2 linked regions of the Arabidopsis thaliana genome follow. The protein of the gene in region 2 interacts with the protein of the main gene of each other region in a pairwise test. Each region holds a gene or a part of one and is shown on either strand. Other genes may lie near its edges. The genes, in order: AT5G45580 and AT3G50650.

Evidence for each region.
Region 1: the proteins of AT3G50650 (region 2) and AT5G45580 interact in binary tests that used the Arabidopsis thaliana proteins (3 or more experiments, as listed by UniProt).

What each region holds. Positions count from the first base shown.
Region 1 is NC_003076.8:18,477,180-18,486,659, forward strand, and holds AT5G45580 (Homeodomain-like superfamily protein), read right to left. Parts: upstream 5,830-9,480; 5' UTR 5,468-5,829; coding exon 5,326-5,467; intron 5,013-5,325; coding exon 4,936-5,012; exon of another isoform or gene 4,897-4,935; coding exon of another isoform or gene 4,843-4,896; coding exon 4,776-4,842; intron 4,627-4,775; coding exon 4,551-4,626; intron 4,467-4,550; coding exon 4,388-4,466; intron 4,315-4,387; coding exon 3,913-4,314; 3' UTR 3,630-3,912; downstream 1-3,629. Other genes in the region: AT5G45590 (Ribosomal protein L35), read right to left, coding at 7,464-7,553, 7,897-7,981, 8,086-8,201, 8,818-9,048.
Region 2 is NC_003074.8:18,802,356-18,811,637, forward strand, and holds AT3G50650 (GRAS family transcription factor), read right to left. Parts: upstream 5,889-9,282; 5' UTR 5,746-5,888; coding exon 4,117-5,745; 3' UTR 3,784-4,116; downstream 1-3,783. Other genes in the region: AT3G50640 (uncharacterized protein), read right to left, coding at 1,672-1,715, 1,828-2,284. UniProt on the Arabidopsis thaliana protein: Probable transcription factor involved in plant development. Involved in environmental abiotic stress resistance. May increase the expression of stress-responsive genes. Binds DNA in vitro.

The sequences.
Region 1 (9,480 bases), on a different chromosome or scaffold from region 2:
ACAGGTATATCAAAGTTCCTGGGCATGATGGCATTAGCATAGGACTTGCATAAATAATTCTTCTGAAAGTAAGGATGACACAATGATATCCGAGAAAGTTTTCGTTTTTCAGCAGCTGCAAGCGCGTGGGCACATGGGATCTTTTCTAGGTCAAACCTGCGACAAGAACATTTCTTGTCCTTCAAATTAACAACATGCAGAGATGCTCCAAACGTAACTTGTACTTGATTTGCATCTATGTCTTGCACACTTAGCAATTTAGCGTGCTCTACACGACTCTACAAAGAAGACAATGTCATTAGTTAGCTATAATCACCAATATACGGACGTGTATAAATTGTGTTTGTATTAGAAATGAAACCTGCAATATCTTCTCTACTCCACGAGTAAGATATGTAGACAAATTCAATGCATCATTCCTTCTGTCTGAAAACCATCTCGTCATCATGGATCTAATTTCTTCTAACAGTTGTACAATAGGAAGGCTTCTTGCGGGTGACATGACCTTATTCATTGACTCCGCAATGTTACTTGTAAGCAAGTTGTACCTATCACCAGGAAAATGCACACGAGTCCACAAACGTACATCAGCTCTTTGAAGGTAAGCATGAAGAGCAGGATTCAAAGCTAAAATCTGATCAAATATCCTTTCAAAATCGACTAATCTGAAAGCGTTTGCTGCCTTCTTTACCAAACCAAATGCATCCCGACCTTTAAAGCGAACTAATATATTCTTGTACAAGTGGTATGTACAGATTCCCCGGCTAGACTTAGGATAAACTGTCATTATTGCTCTTTTAATGGATTGGTGCCTGTCTGAAATAATGGCGAGACTTTCATCATCTGGAATCACACTGCTGAGTTGTCTAAAAAACCATTCCCATGAGGCATCATTTTCAGTATCAACAACGGCAAAAGCAATCGGGTATATCTGAAAGTTACCATCTTGAGTTGTTGCTGTAAGAAGTGTCCCTAAGTATTTTCCCTGTAAAAAAGTACCGTCAACAACCACCACTTTCCTCATGAAAGGGAATCCTAAAATACTTGCACCAAACGCAAGAAACAAGTACTTAAATCGCTGTGTTTCATCCACTTCAAGTCGCGTGAAGGTTCCAGGATTTTCCCTCCCTAGCATGTACAAGTATACCGGAAGTTGCTCGTAACCACTTTCTGGTGTATACCTAACCATCTCTCGGGCAGATCTTAGTGTCCGATAAGCCTTCCAGTAATCCATCTAATAAAATGTATTGACTTTAGTGATTAGTTGGTTGAAAACAAGGTGTAATTAATAAACAAAGAAAGCCAAGAAATTGGAAATCGTACCTTGATTTGAAATCGTTTAGTCAATGCTTCGGCAACGTGCATTGGGAGAACCTTAGGTCCAATTCCACCAACGTAATTCTTATAGAGCAATCCAAGTATTTCGTGAGTAGCTTGTCGAGAACGTGATGAGCGTTTAGTAACAGAACATGTATGTTCCGAAACATACACTCTCACCTGAAACTTTGGATACTCGTCAACTGGTGTTGCTCGCACTCTCCATCGACATCCCTTAATCCAACACTTTACAAAATATAATGTAGGAGTCGATTTCGAAACATCAAAATCAAATTTCTCTAACACAGTAAGTATCTTCAAACGTGTCTCCAAGTGATCTTTCGTTTCAAAACATTGACCAACGGCCAATCCCAATGACGATAGTTCTAAGGTCTCGTATGTAGCATCTCCTTTATCTTCTTCTACGTATACACTTAAACTCATCTTCTTGCTTGATACGTTCGTTTTATCTTCTTCTTCTGGTGGAATCCCATAGAGGCTAAAGTTCTCATCATCAGAATCTGTTCCGTCGGAATCATCACAGTAATCAAATCTACTCCCGTCATCTTCACCATCTTCAACTGCTTCAGATTTTTTTCTTTCAACAACGCTATCAGTATGAGTGAATACGTCAACGTTTTCAACGTTTTCTTCGACAATACCGTATACATCAACTGCTTTTGTCTTCGGCAAGTCGCTGCTACCTAAATCATCAATGATTTCCTCTTCATATTCATCTAGAACTTTCTCTTTTAATTCAACACAAAGTCGAACAGTATCATTCTTCGTTTGCCCCAAATAAGACTGAAACTGTCTATTATTACCAATGAGTACAGGTGGAGTATCTGCTGGTAATTGCTTTGATTTCGGGATCTTGTAACTCAAAATAACTTCAAATACACTCTTCTCGATATTGTAATCCTCATACACCATTTGGATGAAATCATCATAACTGGTTTGACTATTACCTTCAAGTACACGACAACCTTTTGTACTATCAACCACAAAAATCCATCTCGTTTTCTCATATACCCATTTACCACACACGAGAATTACTTGATCCATACCAAAGAGAGAATCGATAAACAAGGGAATCGAATTTGTGTCAAAGATGAAGCAACTAAGATCTCGAATAGGTAGAAGAATAATGGATTGTATTGAAATTAGATTTGGTAGGCGTTACAGAAGAAAAAAGAAAACGACAATGGCAGTTTTTTTCATTGGAAACCCTAGGCGTTACGAGAATATTCCTTGACTCAAATATGGTAATATTTCGGAAAAATCTGTCGCCTAATAAAAGTCTGTCATAACGTTTTCAAAAAAAAAAAAAAAAAATCAAGTCAAACCGGATTTAACATACAATCAAACCGGAAATAATTTAATTGAGGGCTAGCTAATAAATCTCATATAACAAAAAATTTCGAAATTTTAAAAATAAATCTGCCAAAAAAAGTCTGTTATTACTAAAAAGGTTATTCTAGTCATAAACAAATCGGCCATAACATTGACATGAGTAAATCTGTTATGTTTTGACACTGAAAAAAAAAACTGTCATCACTAAAAACAAATCTGTTATCACTATGTGACTGTGTAGTAATTTTATTTTTTAACAAAAATCTGTTGTAAAACACCAGATTTGTTAACAAGTTAATTAAATCTGTGATTACACAAAACAACTCTGTCATGCCTATATAACATTTTTCGAGGTTAACAAATCTGTTATAACACAACAGATTTTTGGGTGCAAATAGAAAATCTGTTGCCGCCATAAAGAAAAATCTGTGGTCCGAAAAACAAATCAGTGACAGATTTGGTTTCAACATTCTTACTTTTGAAATTTAAATAAAATCTGTGGAGACTATATGAAACAAATTAGTCACGGTTAAAAAATCTGCGAAAAAAAAAAAATCTGGCGTAACATAACACAGGAAAGTCTGGGGTACAAAACAAGTCTGTTGTAAAAAATCTGTGGTTGACCAACAAATCTGTGATCGATAACAAATCCGTCGCAACAAGAGCCACAGATTTATCAAAAACGACGATGGCATTTTCGTAAATAAATGTGGTTTTATTGCCTTGCTGGAATTAAATAGTAATGGCATTTCTGTAATATTGTTTTTCTCTGCAAAGGAAAACAAGGATAATTTAGGTATAATTATTACTCAAATAACTCATATTTTTAGCATTCCTTTTGGGTCTTTATGTATAAAATATGGGTTACTCTATTAAATTTCCCTTATTTTTAACTGAGAAAATCAATCATGAGAATCAAATCTCATCTTTGTTTGATCCTCATTTTTTAGAAAGAGACAATTAGATGCATAGACATATTTTTGAAAAGAATTAAGAAACAAGCAAATAGGTTTTGAATTTTGCAGAACAAGCGAGAGAAGATGCTACACTTTATTATTCACAAAAATAACTTATTTAGTTAAACCCAATTATTCCGTATTTAGCTGATATCAACTACTTTGGACTTCAAATATGTTCTTGATATTTGACTGAGAAACCATGAAGCCAAATTTGTAACATTCTATAAGAAATGTAAAGAAATAATAAAATAAAATAAAAAATTAAAGAAAGTGTCTCTTTAACCTATTGAAGTCTATCTCCAATCACATTTGGCTTCACTTCAATCCCATATTTCCCACAATTCAAGAGATCATACCCACTTTTGGAGTTCAAATCAAAATGCACAAACCCGGATTCTGGTTTAACACATGCATCTCCGGTTTCTATTTTCTCTTGTTCTCCACATAACCGAAACTCTTGAGAGGAATCACCACCATTAAGGTGTGAGATATCAGTAACCAAACCCGCCTTCTCGTTCTTACGATCACTTCCTACAAGTCCCGAAAGTGCGAGATTGAAATCCGAGAATTGACCCTTGTCTGTTTCCCCTGCATTACCACAAGGTAAGCTCTTCTGTGCTTTCTCTAGTAATGTCAACAAATATTTTCCTTGTGCCTCCATTCTCATCTGCAGTTTTTTCTGCACCTATAACACCGCAAAAACTTCGGTTTAAAACTTTTATTCATTGTTGTGAGAGAAGAAAGAAGAGATTTGTTACCTCGAGTTGTTCTTGAAACCGTTGTTGCGCATCGACCTGATGTCTCATTGCCTCAGCAAAAGGTACATTCCCGCTTTGTCTACGTGTGTTCATTAACATTATGTCAAACTCAAGCTTTACAAATCCATTATGTCGAGAGAAGGCAAATTCATATATAATATACCTTTGATGGTTATCAAATCTTGAATCATTGGAGATTCCTCCTTGAGAACAATTGTCGAAATGCACATATGAACTTCCTGTGAATACAAAAATCAATCAATCTTTGGTTTCTCAAATGTTATCTACATTAATATTCCTTAAATACATCATATGTATATATATATTATACTCTACTATAAGCTGAATTATATATAAATCTTGAATTCTTGATAATAATCATACATACCAGCATTTTCTTTGTTTTGTTCTGTTCTATTTTGTTTTTTGCCTTGTTGTTGACCAAGTCTATACTTCTGCATATAGAAACACATCATAAGAGAGAATATAAACCAACAATTTGTAGACATTATACATTATTATATACTCAAATTTGTATAAATTTGGACCTGTAAATGGCTCTTGAGATGGTACAGTGTTAAACCTTTTAATCCCATCAGCTTCAGAACCGATTTAGGAGTTGCTTCTACAAAACCAAACCAATAACAAATGTCACTAAGCAAACAGATATAATTACATTTGTAACCTATTAAATTTGAAGTTATCAAGCTACATAGAGAAGAATCAATTGAATCACTGGCATTAACTTAACCAACCAAACCGAAGTGAACCGGAATCATAATGTGAAACCGGTTATCTCAATTGAAGAATAAGAAAGAGTAAAAGAGCTATAATGTTGTTACACAGATACATCAACTGTAGATTTAACCGGACTGAACCGGAATTATAAAGTGAAACCGGTTATCACAATTGAAGAAGAGGAGGAAAGAGGAGCTTACTGTCAGCGCCACCGAGCTTAGCGACGGCGTCGACGAAGCGATCATGAAGATCGGCTGTCCATCTGAGCCTAGGTTTGGGATCTCTAGTCATCATAACTCCGCCATTATCGTAACCTAAACCTCCGAGATTCACTCTTTCCATTTAATTTTCCGATCAAACAAAATAATGGCGGGAAACTCAGTCGGAAGAATGAATCAAATAACTTCGAAATTTTCCTCTTCTCAAGGATGTGATCGGAAAGAGGAAGCGTAAACTCAAAAAAAGGAAAAATGGCAATCGAACTACGAAATATTGGTCGGAAAGAAAGTGGAAGAAATTTTGTTAAAGATGGGAATGCGAGTGATTAGGGTAAAGAGATAATCGGCGACGAGAGGACGAGATAAATAGAAAGAAGTGTGATGATTGATGGAGAAAAAGAGATCAGAAAACTTTTTGAGGAAAATCTCAGAGAGAGAGAAAGGGAACTTAAAAAAGTCGTCGCGGTGATGATGATGATGGAGGAGGAGAAGTGGTGACATTATTCGTGACTTAACGTCAACCTTCGGTTAATATAGTATTATTATAATATATGTATAATACAAATTATGGATCCAACACTAAAAGTTTGTTTATATACAAAAACAAATTGTATCCATATCGAAATATTATGATAATAAAAAAGAAAATAGTAATTATTAACGTTTTTTATATCGATTTTGTGAATAGTATGAAAGCAAAACATAGCAAAATTTTATTGTATTATGACTGATTAGTGATTTATTGCATACAAACGCAATTACCAACCGCATATTACTTGCGTTTTTAATTGTGTCTATGAGATGCTAGACCGTGTATATGTCATGTTGTAGAATAAAATATATACATGATTGCGTACTTTTTTTTTTCTTTTTGTAATCAATCAAGAGGTATTTGTATATTCAGAATCGTAACATGGGAGAGAGGAACATGGCCCGCATCATGGATATTTGTTTACTATACCTAGATTATTAATGTCCAAAGAATATATAGTTTCTAGGAATTATCATTTTTATCATTTGAATAATTTATATGTTAGATTTATGTGTTTTTAAATCAGATAACTTATGACTAAAGGTTTTGTCTCATTCTCATACAATCCATGAATCAAAATCTCTCTCCATGTTGTTCCTTTATTTAGGTATCATATAAATTTATCATTCATATGTTGTCGGATAGTCTCAATTTGAGATAGAAGAAGAAAATAAACATAGAAAATGTTTCGACCAAATTACTAAATTAGTAATTTGTTATTACACATTCCACATTACACATAAATCAATTCCGAATAATCAAATAAAATGAAATTCATTTTTTTTTTGATAAAAGATTTGATGAAATTCATTGTTGTATTGTGACCTTTTAAAAATTGTTTTAAAAAAAAAACAAATCGTTGTATTCGGCGACGATCAATACATGATGAGTGATGAGCGGTGTCAAATTCCGACAAGAGCGACATAAAACCTTTTTTTGTATTTTTTTAAAAACAATAACAATAATAATTCAATGGTTTTAAAAAGGAATTTATATGACGAAAACAAAGTGCATGGGGCGAGCATGTCACGTAGACTGCCAGCGTGGAATATTCGCCGTCGGACAAGGAAAATACAATAATCTGAAACTCACATGTTCGACGGTGGGGGTTTAATGGTATTTCAACATAGGACACGTGGACGGCTTTGTTACTCTTTTGTCTTTTACGTTTGTTGAAATTGAGACCCACAAGAAATACACACGTGGAACCAAGGCCGCTTCGTTCGACCGCAATCGTTTTGTCCTAACCAAACATGAGAATGGGTGTATTTTTCAATCCAAAGCTCGGTTTACACCGGTACAATCTGACTAAACCGAAATATCATATAACCGGACCGACTCGGGAAACAAAGTTTCTTCTGGTTTAGCTGGAAAATGTACTTGAGAAAAAATCATAAGCCTAACTTGTTTCTCTTTTCAAAACCGATCAGTCTTAACGCCAATTTCACCATATTTCGAAAACTCAATTTATTCCAATGAAGTTAAACTGAAACATAAAGATTTTTTGAGTACCAGTGAGCAAAATTATCTGGTAAAAACTGGAAGAGACTGGCTTTCATCGTAATCATACTGTTTCATGCTCTATCTCTCAATTGCAGAAATTGAGTTTCTTCATGACTTTCGCATATGCTGGTGGTACTAGTCCAGGTTGTCTCAATCTACGCTTCGATTTCTTTGACTGCATCAATTAACAAAACAAATTCTTTACACTCAACATTTCTCAACCTGACTCAGAAATCTTACACAATGATGAAACCCCGAAGAGGTCCAACAACAGAGATGGTATTGTAAAATACAACTTTGCCTACCATTTGTCCATTTAGCTAAACAAGGAAACACCTAAAGACTCGAAGTTCAAAACTAGTTCTATCCAAATTTAAGTTCACTATCACCAGAATCAGCTGTTGGGCAATTTTCGATCAGTTCTATCCCTAGGTATTATCATACTGTTCCTCTAGAGGCGTAGGCCAAAGAATGAATAAAATTTTCTATCATCGATATGAGGAATAAGGTGTTGTTACCTTCAAATGTGCGTTGTGGCGCTTGCCTTCTTTCCAGCGACGGATGGTACCATCATTTAGTGGTTTAAACCTGTCTTTGAATGACCTGAGATATAGATTCAACACAAAAAAAAATTGTTGAGAGAGACGCCCAAACTATTACTAACAAGATTTGTTGATAATCTGGGAATCAGAAGTTTCAGCACGTACGAATAAAACTTAATCTTGACTTTCTTGACTTTTGATGTGATTGGAGTCCTAGGTCTCCACTTCTTCTTCCATTTTGCCATTTTTTCCTTAGAAGTGATATTTCGTACTTGAACAAACTGAAGGCAGAGAGAATCAAACGTACATAAGATAAGCAATCAGATATAAATCAATGTTGGTACTTCGTAGTGATGATACTCAAGCACACCGCCTTTATCATCTGGCTTAACGAACATGATATCAAAATGCAAGAGCTACTATGAACAAATAATTCTATTTTCGGAAAACACGCAATCAAAGCCATGACGATTCTTCTTTCCTATGATCAAACAAGGGGCACAAAATTCAAGAACCGTACACAATAAATCCGAATGTTAAGATTCCAAAGAAAACATGTATGTATCTTATGAGATTGAGTAAGCTCTTTTTTTTTTTTTAACAAAAGAGATTTAGTAGGTTAAAACTTGCAACGTAGTGATATATGCAAGCACTGACTTGTATCAGTTGGATTCAAAACAAAGTGCAAGTAAGCTTATTAACATTCTTTGAATTAGTATTTAGTAATCCATGTTGTTGATTTTGTTTCAACAGAACATATAGAAAATTCAGAAGAAGCTAAAACTATATACCAATTCAAACTATCTAGCTCGTCACTCGTCAGATCTTGTCCTCCTAAGATTTGTCTCAATCAGCAGATATATATAAAGCAATTGAAGCTAAATTCTGGAAACTTACGTGATGAGGAACAAAGGTAGTGCCCATGGAGCTAACATTCGACGGAAAAACTCCGGCGGCGGGAACGAAGCTCCATTTGGTGGAATTGGCAAAACCTAGGGTTGTTGTTGTTAAGTGACGACTCGGAGAAGGAGAATGGTGAATGAGACGGTGAGGAGAAGCACCGTAAAAAGAGAGATTCCGATTAGATTGGAGAGAAATGGAACGTAGCTTAGTGCAAAACCTCTGCATTGTCGTCTCCAAGGGGAAGAACAATTTTCTGATTGAAATGCGAATTTTATAAAAGAGAAGAAGTGTGTGTGACAAAGCTTTGGGGTTTTTGGGAAATGATTTTGAGTGTTTGGTTATTAGGATAACTCTATTCTTTTTTACTCTTTTTTTTTCTTGTCATCATTCTCTTTTACTTTGATAATGGTAAAATGTCTTTGGGAAAAAAGCCAAAAAAATACCAAACTAATTTGTTTTTTTTTTGTAGGCGAAGGGGACAACGAGTCCCCTTCAAAATATTATTATAAAATTAAACCAAATTACAAACAAATACGCCGTGAATACGAGATCCCACGATAGTCTTCATCAAAAAAAGATGAGATACAATCCGAACAAGAATCTAGTAAATGCAACCCTAAAAGGCATAAAAATGCATAATTAGCCAAACCATCCGCA
Region 2 (9,282 bases):
AATACAGATAGATATGATTGGTGTTTATTTCCGGGTCGCTTTCTACGAGTAAAGAAATGGTCAATCACAAATCTTTTCATACCAAACTCTGCCATTATTACATAACTCTCTTAATTTCCTAAACCAAGAATGGCTTTATTATTAACTTTTTCCTCCTTTAATTTTGGTCTCTCCTTTTCTACGGAGTACTTTTTTTTGTTTGTCATTATTATCACTCTTACTTTAAAAATACTAGAACTCAAGATTCAACGAGAAAATTCAGAGGTTATGATTAAAATGTTTAAAACTGTCGTACTGTACTGATCGGTTAAAGAAACTGACACAACACAAAGATGCGAGAATGTACACTAAAACCCACGAGGCAAAGATTTTACTCTTTTCTTGTTTCTTCTTTTTTGTTTTTGTCAATAAGTGGTAAAGAGAGCTGGAGTCTTTTTCTCCACTTGTTCGTTTTTATGAGTTGGACTCTACGGGCCCAATATAGAGATTCCTTTGTCAATCTTGTGTTCCACAGAACAACAAGTCCCTTTAAAATTATTCTGAGCCCATTCATATGATCATATATCTTCCTTACATTATTATTTATATACAAAATTTCGAGAAACTGAATTCTATTAGAATTGGATCTTTCTTTGCTTGTTCACAATTGACAAAAGCTTGTTTCTAATACCATACGCATCTTTTATTGATTAAGTAATTAAACAGAAAATTTATAAGTATTGTTCTTTTCGAAATATGGTGATGAACTGATGATGATATACATTTTGATCTTAGTACATTTGTTCAAACAATGCAGTACATTTTTTTGACTCAGGTCCTATATGTTTCATTACCTATTTAAAGTGCATCATCATATACATCACCAATGATAAGTTGATAACTACTTATAACGAGAGTAGTCACTGTGTTAGTAATTAAGTACCATGTTTCTATATACTTTGATCATCTGATAAACAAGTGTTCACAATCAGGTTTCTATTCCTCCGGTTATCATCTTCAAGGGCATAGATCGAGTAACAAGAAACATAATCACTGCAAGACATAAGCGCAAACGATTCCGCAACTTGATGCAACTTTGGATACGATGAATCTCTTTCATCCATTTTCCTAATTATTTTGTCTCCTTGTTTTATCTTTTTTGCCAAGGATACAAATTTAAGGGCTCCTACTTTGTAAAGCCAAACCTTTTCATTTTTAATGATATTAACATTCATAACAAAAAAAACAAGTGTTCTTCAACTTCATTTTCAACGAATGAGAGGAATAAATACTTCAGAACAAGTCCTCACGCACATACTATTTTGATTATGCTAAATACACTAAACCATCAAATTAAAGTGGGAAAAGAAGTTTAATTGGTCGATATGAATATATGATAATAAGTGGTACGTGAGACAAGTGCATGCAGACAACTTATAACTAAAAGTGAATAAAAAGAAAAAGTATTACACACAAATCTTCACTGGCATTAAAAAATAGAGATGTTCCACAAAATGATTGATTCCACAAACAAAACAAAAACTTACAAGAACAACAAAACACGTGAGCGAGAAGAGTTGTTGTAACTTGGAACCATCTTTGTCCAAAGACCTTTTAGATACAGTCAATCTAGATTATCATAAATAATCTAAATTAATTTCTAGAAACCAAAGTGGGAGCTCTAAACTTTCTTCATCTTGTATCTGCAACTTGACACTCCCTCGTTGCAACATTTCCTGATCAGTCCAAAAGATTTTCACTAGCTCATATTAGTATTGGTTTGGGAATCTCCGGTTATCCAAAGAAGAATAAAAATTTCAAAACAGAGGATTGTTTTTGTTTGTATACCTGAGATTATTTTGTGATCTTGACTTAACACTTCCTCATTGACTTTATCAGTCTTCTTAGATCTAACATGGGTCCTCTTAAGTCCCAAAAGCTCCCTCCACGTGCCCTTTGTGGAAAAGGATGAAGAAGACAACAATATTGGCCTGAGGGAGAAAGTGTTACCATCGACCATAGAACCCTCCTCTTCAGTAAGAAGCTCTTCTCCTAAGGTCCTATGGACGTGACTGGTCTCCTTAAAAGGTAAAATCTTTCCTTTGAGGAAGATTTCATCGGCGGGAATCATCGAGTAATCGGTGACTGAGAAAGCGAAATCAGCTGAGGGCATGGAGAAAGAGCTTCTCGAGTTGATGTTGTTGCTCTTAGCATTACTCTTCTCCGATCTGATCTCGACAAACTCGTTAGAAAAAGAGATTCTAGCAGCACCATTCATGGAGTTGTGCATTTCTAAGCGTGCCATTTATGTTTTTACTCAATGGCATATAGAATGAGAGATCTAAGCCATTGAGTTATATATAGGATAAGAAGTTGGAATGAGATTATTAATGTCCAACTCATAGATCCATCAAGCTTGATCTATATGACTATATTCTATATACGAATATTTGACCGAGAGATTCTAGCAAAAAGTGTTTTATAATAGAACCAAAAAAAATAATGTTGTAGATTATCATTCATTGGCAAAATGTTGTTGATCTTCGTATCTTGAAGGAGTTAAAGATCACATGGAGGCACGTGAGAAACTATCCATTTGTCCTCTGTTATTTCTTGTTCTATTGCTTACCATCAAACATACTACTAACTCAGTGATATGTCGACAAATATGGGCATAAAATGTTGTATTAATATCTATTTACATATGAGGTAACGTGCAGTCAAAGGACCAAGGTTGTCAATCATGTGCTTGGAAGTTCCATTGAACATTGTTTATCCCACACGTCGTCGTGATGCGACTCCGCTCATGAATGATTGGTCAAAAAAACAGTTTCATCTCATTATAGGAAAATATCAACGCATCATTGCTTGAACCTTTTTTCTTAGAGAAACCGGTAAACATTATTTCATGGCTTGCAATTTCATCGTCTAAGTTGAATTTCATATCATACATAGTCTGCTCGATATCCAAAGGTGTTAGTTTCCACCAATACTTTAGTTATTTGTAAATGAAACGATTTACTTTTAATTTTATGATGTATGTGAAGTTTAGAAGTTTCTAACTCAAAATCAATTAGTTATAAATGGATTGATCTATATATTACTTTATAGTCTATATCATTTTCGATTTCTAATTCAAAAGCACTTAAAATGAGTGGATTAGATCATTTTTTTTTTAATTTTTATTTCAGGTATCATCACACTTATAGATGTTGGATTCCTAACCATGATTTTCTAAAAAATGAAAAATCAAGCTGGCAAATTGTAAGCAATTAGCTGTGAAGAGTCAAGACTTGGTTGGGTTATTTGCAAAATACTTCTATGTATTGTTTTTGTTTGTGGCTAATATAAATAAAGGAATGGGACAGAGATTAGGCCTGTTTATTTTGGGCCAAGCATAAACAGAGTGGGCTTTTATCTTCGTTAGGGAAGTAAAATTTACTATCAGACTCACAGACAGAGTCAGAGTAGTGGCTGAGAGATATAGGAAATGGGGACCAAAAGACCACTGAAGAAGAAATTCGAGAGTTGACGTCATAGTGGCACGTTTGAAGTTCGAACAAAGAGAAACAAGACTGACACAGAAAGATTGAAATACTTGTCAGTGCGCCTTCGTATTTTTGGCTTTTACTTCACTGACAAATAATTATGCTCCTATTTTATTATTCAGTGAATGGTACAGAAAACATTGGTATATAATTTTCATGAAGTAAACAAAACTATATTAGGCAAGAAAAAGTGGAGACAAAATGATGAAAAGGGAGAAGAAATGGTGTGTTAGTGAAAGATCTTAGTGCAATTCAAATTTCAGTCTCTTTTATGGGACCATAATACTCTCATTTCAAAATCAAACTTCATCACCTCCTTTCCTCAATTTCAGGGGTTAATTCTAGTGTTTTTTTCATTCACATGAATTTGGTTTAGCTTCTTTCGTTTATACCAAAGAAATCTAGTCAAATGTTACATACAATATATATTACAAATGAACATAAACGACAAACCATCATCACTCCAAGCACTAGATAAAAAAGAGTAAGAGAATAGGCTAGAGACTAATTAAACATCCAAATCTAACCCCAAACAATTCAATTCTAAAAGCTAACTCAAAATACTAGATTAACTTATCGGACCAAGTAGTCAACGCCAAGAGGAAACGGTGAGGAGAGGCACATTGTTCCAAGCCAAGGAGATGAAACCTGGCTCCGATTCAACAAGTGAATACAATGTACTATAATTGTAGTTCCATAGTAGCAGCTTCGCTTGGCTAACCGCGTAATTACTCGGTTTAACCGGCTCAAATCCAGCTTTCTCCATCAACACTCTCCATTGTTCTTTCTCCTCCATTAACCCAAACCGGGTTCCCGGTTTATTATTATCATCATCTGATCGGACCAAATCCATAATCCTCCTACCGAACAACACTCTCTCCACTCTCAGCCTTTCTTTCGAATCTCGATCCAAATTCGGTTCAAGCGATTCAAAAACCGCGGAATAAAACCGGAGAGAGTTCTTAACCCGGTTAGCAAATTCAACCCGGTTTAAACTGACTTCGTATTCTCCAAGCGTCACAATCCTCGGGTTTAACGATCTAGCTAACCGGAGCGCCGTACCAACAGTCGTCGCTGTTTCATCTAGAAGCTTATAAAGCTCAAGCATAAAATTCACAACCAAAACCTCATCCGGGTCAACCCGAAAACTTGACCCGTTTAGTAATTGAATCGGAGTCAGAACCGGATAAAACTCGAAATTGAGATCCAAAATCGCCGCGAAATCACGGAGACGGTTTCCCGTAGCGATCAGAGACGGTCCCGGTGAGTCTCCTAGAGACGGAGCGGGTATACCCGAAATCCGGATCCGGGTGGGTTTACCAGAAGAACGGGTCGCTAAAGCTTGTAACAGAGCAGACCATTGAATACCTTGAAAAATCCCGAAATCGACTATGTGAATGTTGTTTGATTGATTCGTAGCTTCGAGAATTGCTTGATTCGCTGTTAAATGAGCGAACTTTGAATATGGACATGCGTCGTTTAAGGTTTTGTATGAGAGAATGAAATCTTCTAGGGATGACGACGACGATGACGACGGAGACTCTGTTTCTTTATGAGACAGAGCTTCTGCGAAGTAATACCCGACTCGTTGTATCGGGTCGCCTGATTCGGACACGGATTCTTTGATCCGAATTAGTGTGTCCGGTTTAGTTTCCGGTTTACGTGCATAATCGTGGATAGCTTTAAAAATCGGCTGGTTTAGATCAAAATCCGGCTGCGGCGGGGGAGGAGGAGGATGTTGTGGTGATGGCGGAGATGGAGACCATATAGCGGTGGAAGCTGGTGGCGGAGGGAGTTGTTGACTCGCTGAGTCATCTTTGTTGACTCGGTTGAGATATGAAGGAGCACTGAGTCGACTCGGGAATGAGACGAATGGATCATGGCCGTAGATTGGGAAGTCTGGATTGGTTTGTGACGCATCTCCACCGTTGATCAAACTCTCCATCCACTCGTCGGAGTCAAACTCCTCGGAAGCGACGGCTGCGTTTTGATGATGCTCCAGGTGTGGAAAGTGAAAACCTGGGTCGTTGGTTACTTGAAACGGGTCGGAGAAACCCGAACCGGGAAGAGTAAACCCGAAGGATGGATTGGGCCAGGGGTTGGGTTCTTGTTCTTGTTCTTCTTGTTGTTGATGTTGTGATTGTTGTTGCTGCTTCTGTTTGATGAGTTGTTGTGCTATAGCCATTAAGTTTCCGCTGTCGGTGCACATATACGCCATTCTCCGACTCACTTTCGCCGGCGATGAAGGCGTTTTTTTGTCTGTTATTTGGTGGTGATTGAGTAAGGCCCAGAGAGAGAGAGGGATATGAATGAAACCGGAGAGATTTTAGTAGGAAGAAAAAAGTAAGAAAGTGAGTATTTTCATTTTGATTTATCATTTTCTTTTTTTTTGTCATCCGATTTATCATTTTCGAGTACTGTATTTTTAATCAATTACCACTTTAGTTTAAAAGTACAAAATTACGTTATTAACTGCAAGAAATGAAGAAACTATAAAACCAACAACAACAACAAAAAATGAAGAAACTAACTAACATAGTTTACTAAAAAACTCAGTTTTGTATTTAATTATTTTCAAGAATTTAATAATAGAAATGTAATTTATCAAAATATCAATTGAATAATTTCTATATCTCATGAATTTGTAGTTTCGTATAATCTTACAAATTTATTCAGAAACCTTTTGACCAAAAAATAAAAAATACATAGGTTTTTTTTTGTTAAATAATTATTACCACTCTGTTAATATGGGTAAAAAAAAGAGTTGACGTTATGAAAAAAAAGAGAGAGTAAAACGATATCTCACTTATGGGACCCACAGACACGATGACGTCATGTATCGGCAGTTACGTATCGAAGAGTGTGACCTCATCTCCACCGTCTAGAATCAGATCAATGGCTTTGGCTGAAATGGTGAATGTGACACGTCGACAACTGTCTTCTGCTACTTGTCACCTGCATGTCGCCTGCAACTTTTCTGTCTTTTTTCATTTTAACTAACAGTATTATAAAGGTAAAAAGATTGATGTAAGAAAAGTAAAAAGAATTAGGTTATTATCTTCTGCTTTCAAGCCGCAAAGGTCAAGGTTTTTCAAAGCTGTTTCTTATCAACTAAAAGGGTCGTTAAATTGGACTTTGGTTAACAAATTTCAGTGACTTCATTGGTTTAGTTTCAGTTACTTTTGTAAAAAAACCTTTCGACAAGTTAAGCTAACATCTTGAATATGACTTGAGCAAGCAAAAATTAAACAATAGACATGTTTTATTTGTATACGCATGTCTTTTTTATCTCAACGTTAGTGTTGTGGAGGACGGCTTGTGGGTCCGTAAGTAGGCCCATATACAATGGAGCAAAAGCGATTTGTGGCGGGCTCTACTAGTATCTGTTGTTGGTGGACGAACTTTGACGAAGAAAATGTAGTAGCCATTAGCCAAAAGCTAAAAATTACACAAAAATACCAAAAAAAAAACACAAGCAAAGAAGAAACAAGAAAAGAGTCCAAAGAGGATTATAGAATTTAAAAGTCTTTCAATAACAAACCAAGTTTTATGAATTATCATTCATACACGACGCATAGTTCGAGAATTTGCTTATTTGAGGTTTGAGTGTGGAAGCTCTTTGTGACTTTGCAATTTCTAAAAACCTAAAGCGAATGAAATAGAAAAGAGCAATAGCGAACAAAAAGCACATGGGAACGACACTTGACTCTTTGAGACATCACTCTTTTCATTTCATCGTTGTATCCGCGTCAAAAGGCCTACTTCTCCACTACTTATAACTTAAATATCTAAATTACATTACTAAACATGGTATATGGTCCCTGGCCCAAGTCTACTTTTGATTTTCACTTTTGACATTTTTTACTACAAAGTGCCATGGACTGTTCTAAATTGGTAATGATTTCAACAAGGAGAATGAAGAAGATGATATTTTTGAAAAGGACTTGTCTTTGAAAATGGCAATCCCACTTTAGTGTTTAACCATTGCACCTATCTGCAAGTGGACTTGGAGAAAATAGATAGAGAGAGAGAGAGAATGAGTGGTGTATGAAAAGGACATGAGTAAGAATGAAAGGGTTTGATTTGTCTTTTCTTTCTATCCAAGTCATCGGTGGGGTTTCTTATGTATGAACAAAGAGTGGCATTGAGTCATCCCCAAGAAAGTCTCTCTATATATTTACCATTTTTGTCACATTCTTTGCTTTTTTTTTTAAATACTAATTTTTAGTTTCAACTCTTACCAACTAAAATTTACCTATTTTTGTCTCCTCCTTAGCTTTTTACACTTATTTTCGTTTGAACCTTTAATTAACCAAAATATATTTACTATTTGAATCAGTTAAACAGAAATTATTAAGTCAGTAAGAAAAATATATATTTGGTGACGATTATCTCATACAAAACAGAAAGAGACTTTTCAAATGACAAGTGGCCTGTCCAAACACTAAACTTTTGTACCTTTTATTGACCAGCTAACTCACTTTCTCATCCAAATTTTAGTTAGTTAAAACAAAAAAATCTCAATGCTTTTCCTCGTTTTCTGAATATTATTCGGCTAACCAGAAAAGAAAAAAAATACTTGCGGGCCAAACCACGAAAATCAATAAACAAGGGCTTTTGGTTGGTAAGTCTCGATTTCATCACCGAGGGTGTTCATGTGAATAAACCTATACTTCAAAATATCGAACCATTTCGTCTTTCCAATATCTGCAAAATTAGAGACAATCAATCAAATTCAAAGCCATATTGTTGTTAACAAAAGAGCAGTATGATGAACAATTGAACATCAATATAATTTATGAATTATCTAAATCTTCTCATTTGGATGATTTCAGATCAAGTAAAAACTTTATGGGCCGTAATTATCCAACAATATGATGGGCCGACCTAATCGAGGAACACGGGGACTAGTTGGCGTAATCAGCCTCCAAATATTTGGAGGCTTCTGTTTTTGTTTTATTTAATCATATTTTATTTCACTGTAAATAAATGGATAATACAGTGTGTTAATCAACCATATGTCTATCTGCACTGTTTTTTTTTTTCTTTTTTCTTGGCATTTTAATTAATTACAATTATATAATTTTTGGTAAAGTACAATTAGATAATTTAACGTGTCACCTGATTACGTATTTAAACCCTAACTCAACCACAGATTTTTTTTTATCACTCTCTAATTGTCTCGATCAATCCGTCAAAACCATGTATTACGAGGGAGAAGATTTCAGCGGTAAGATATCATTATCTATCTTTAGGGCCGATTGGTAACGACTGTTAATTTTGGTTGTAGAGACTTTCGCTGTAGGAACTTTGACGGTAAAAACTTTGATTATAAAAATTTTGACTTTAAAAATTTTAACAGTATAGACTTTAACGGTTAAAATCTGATAGGTAACACCAAAACTGTAGAAATTGTAACTGTAAAACTTATAATTTTAAATAATATAAATTATAGCAAATATAACTCGAACTGTGATATAACAACTACATTCACACAAAAAAACTTTATGGTAAATTTTTTATACATTCATATTTCTTTGCTTTTGCATCAAATGTAATATTTGATGTTCTTTAATATACATAAGTGGATCTTAAAAGAATATAAATTAAACAGTAATTATAAACATTTATCAATGAATTCCATAGGAAATTTTGTATAAATTACGATTTTAAAATAACTACCAAATATATAGGAAAATAGATTTTAAAAGAACAAGAAAAAAATCAATTATAAATCAATTAGATTTTTTCAAAA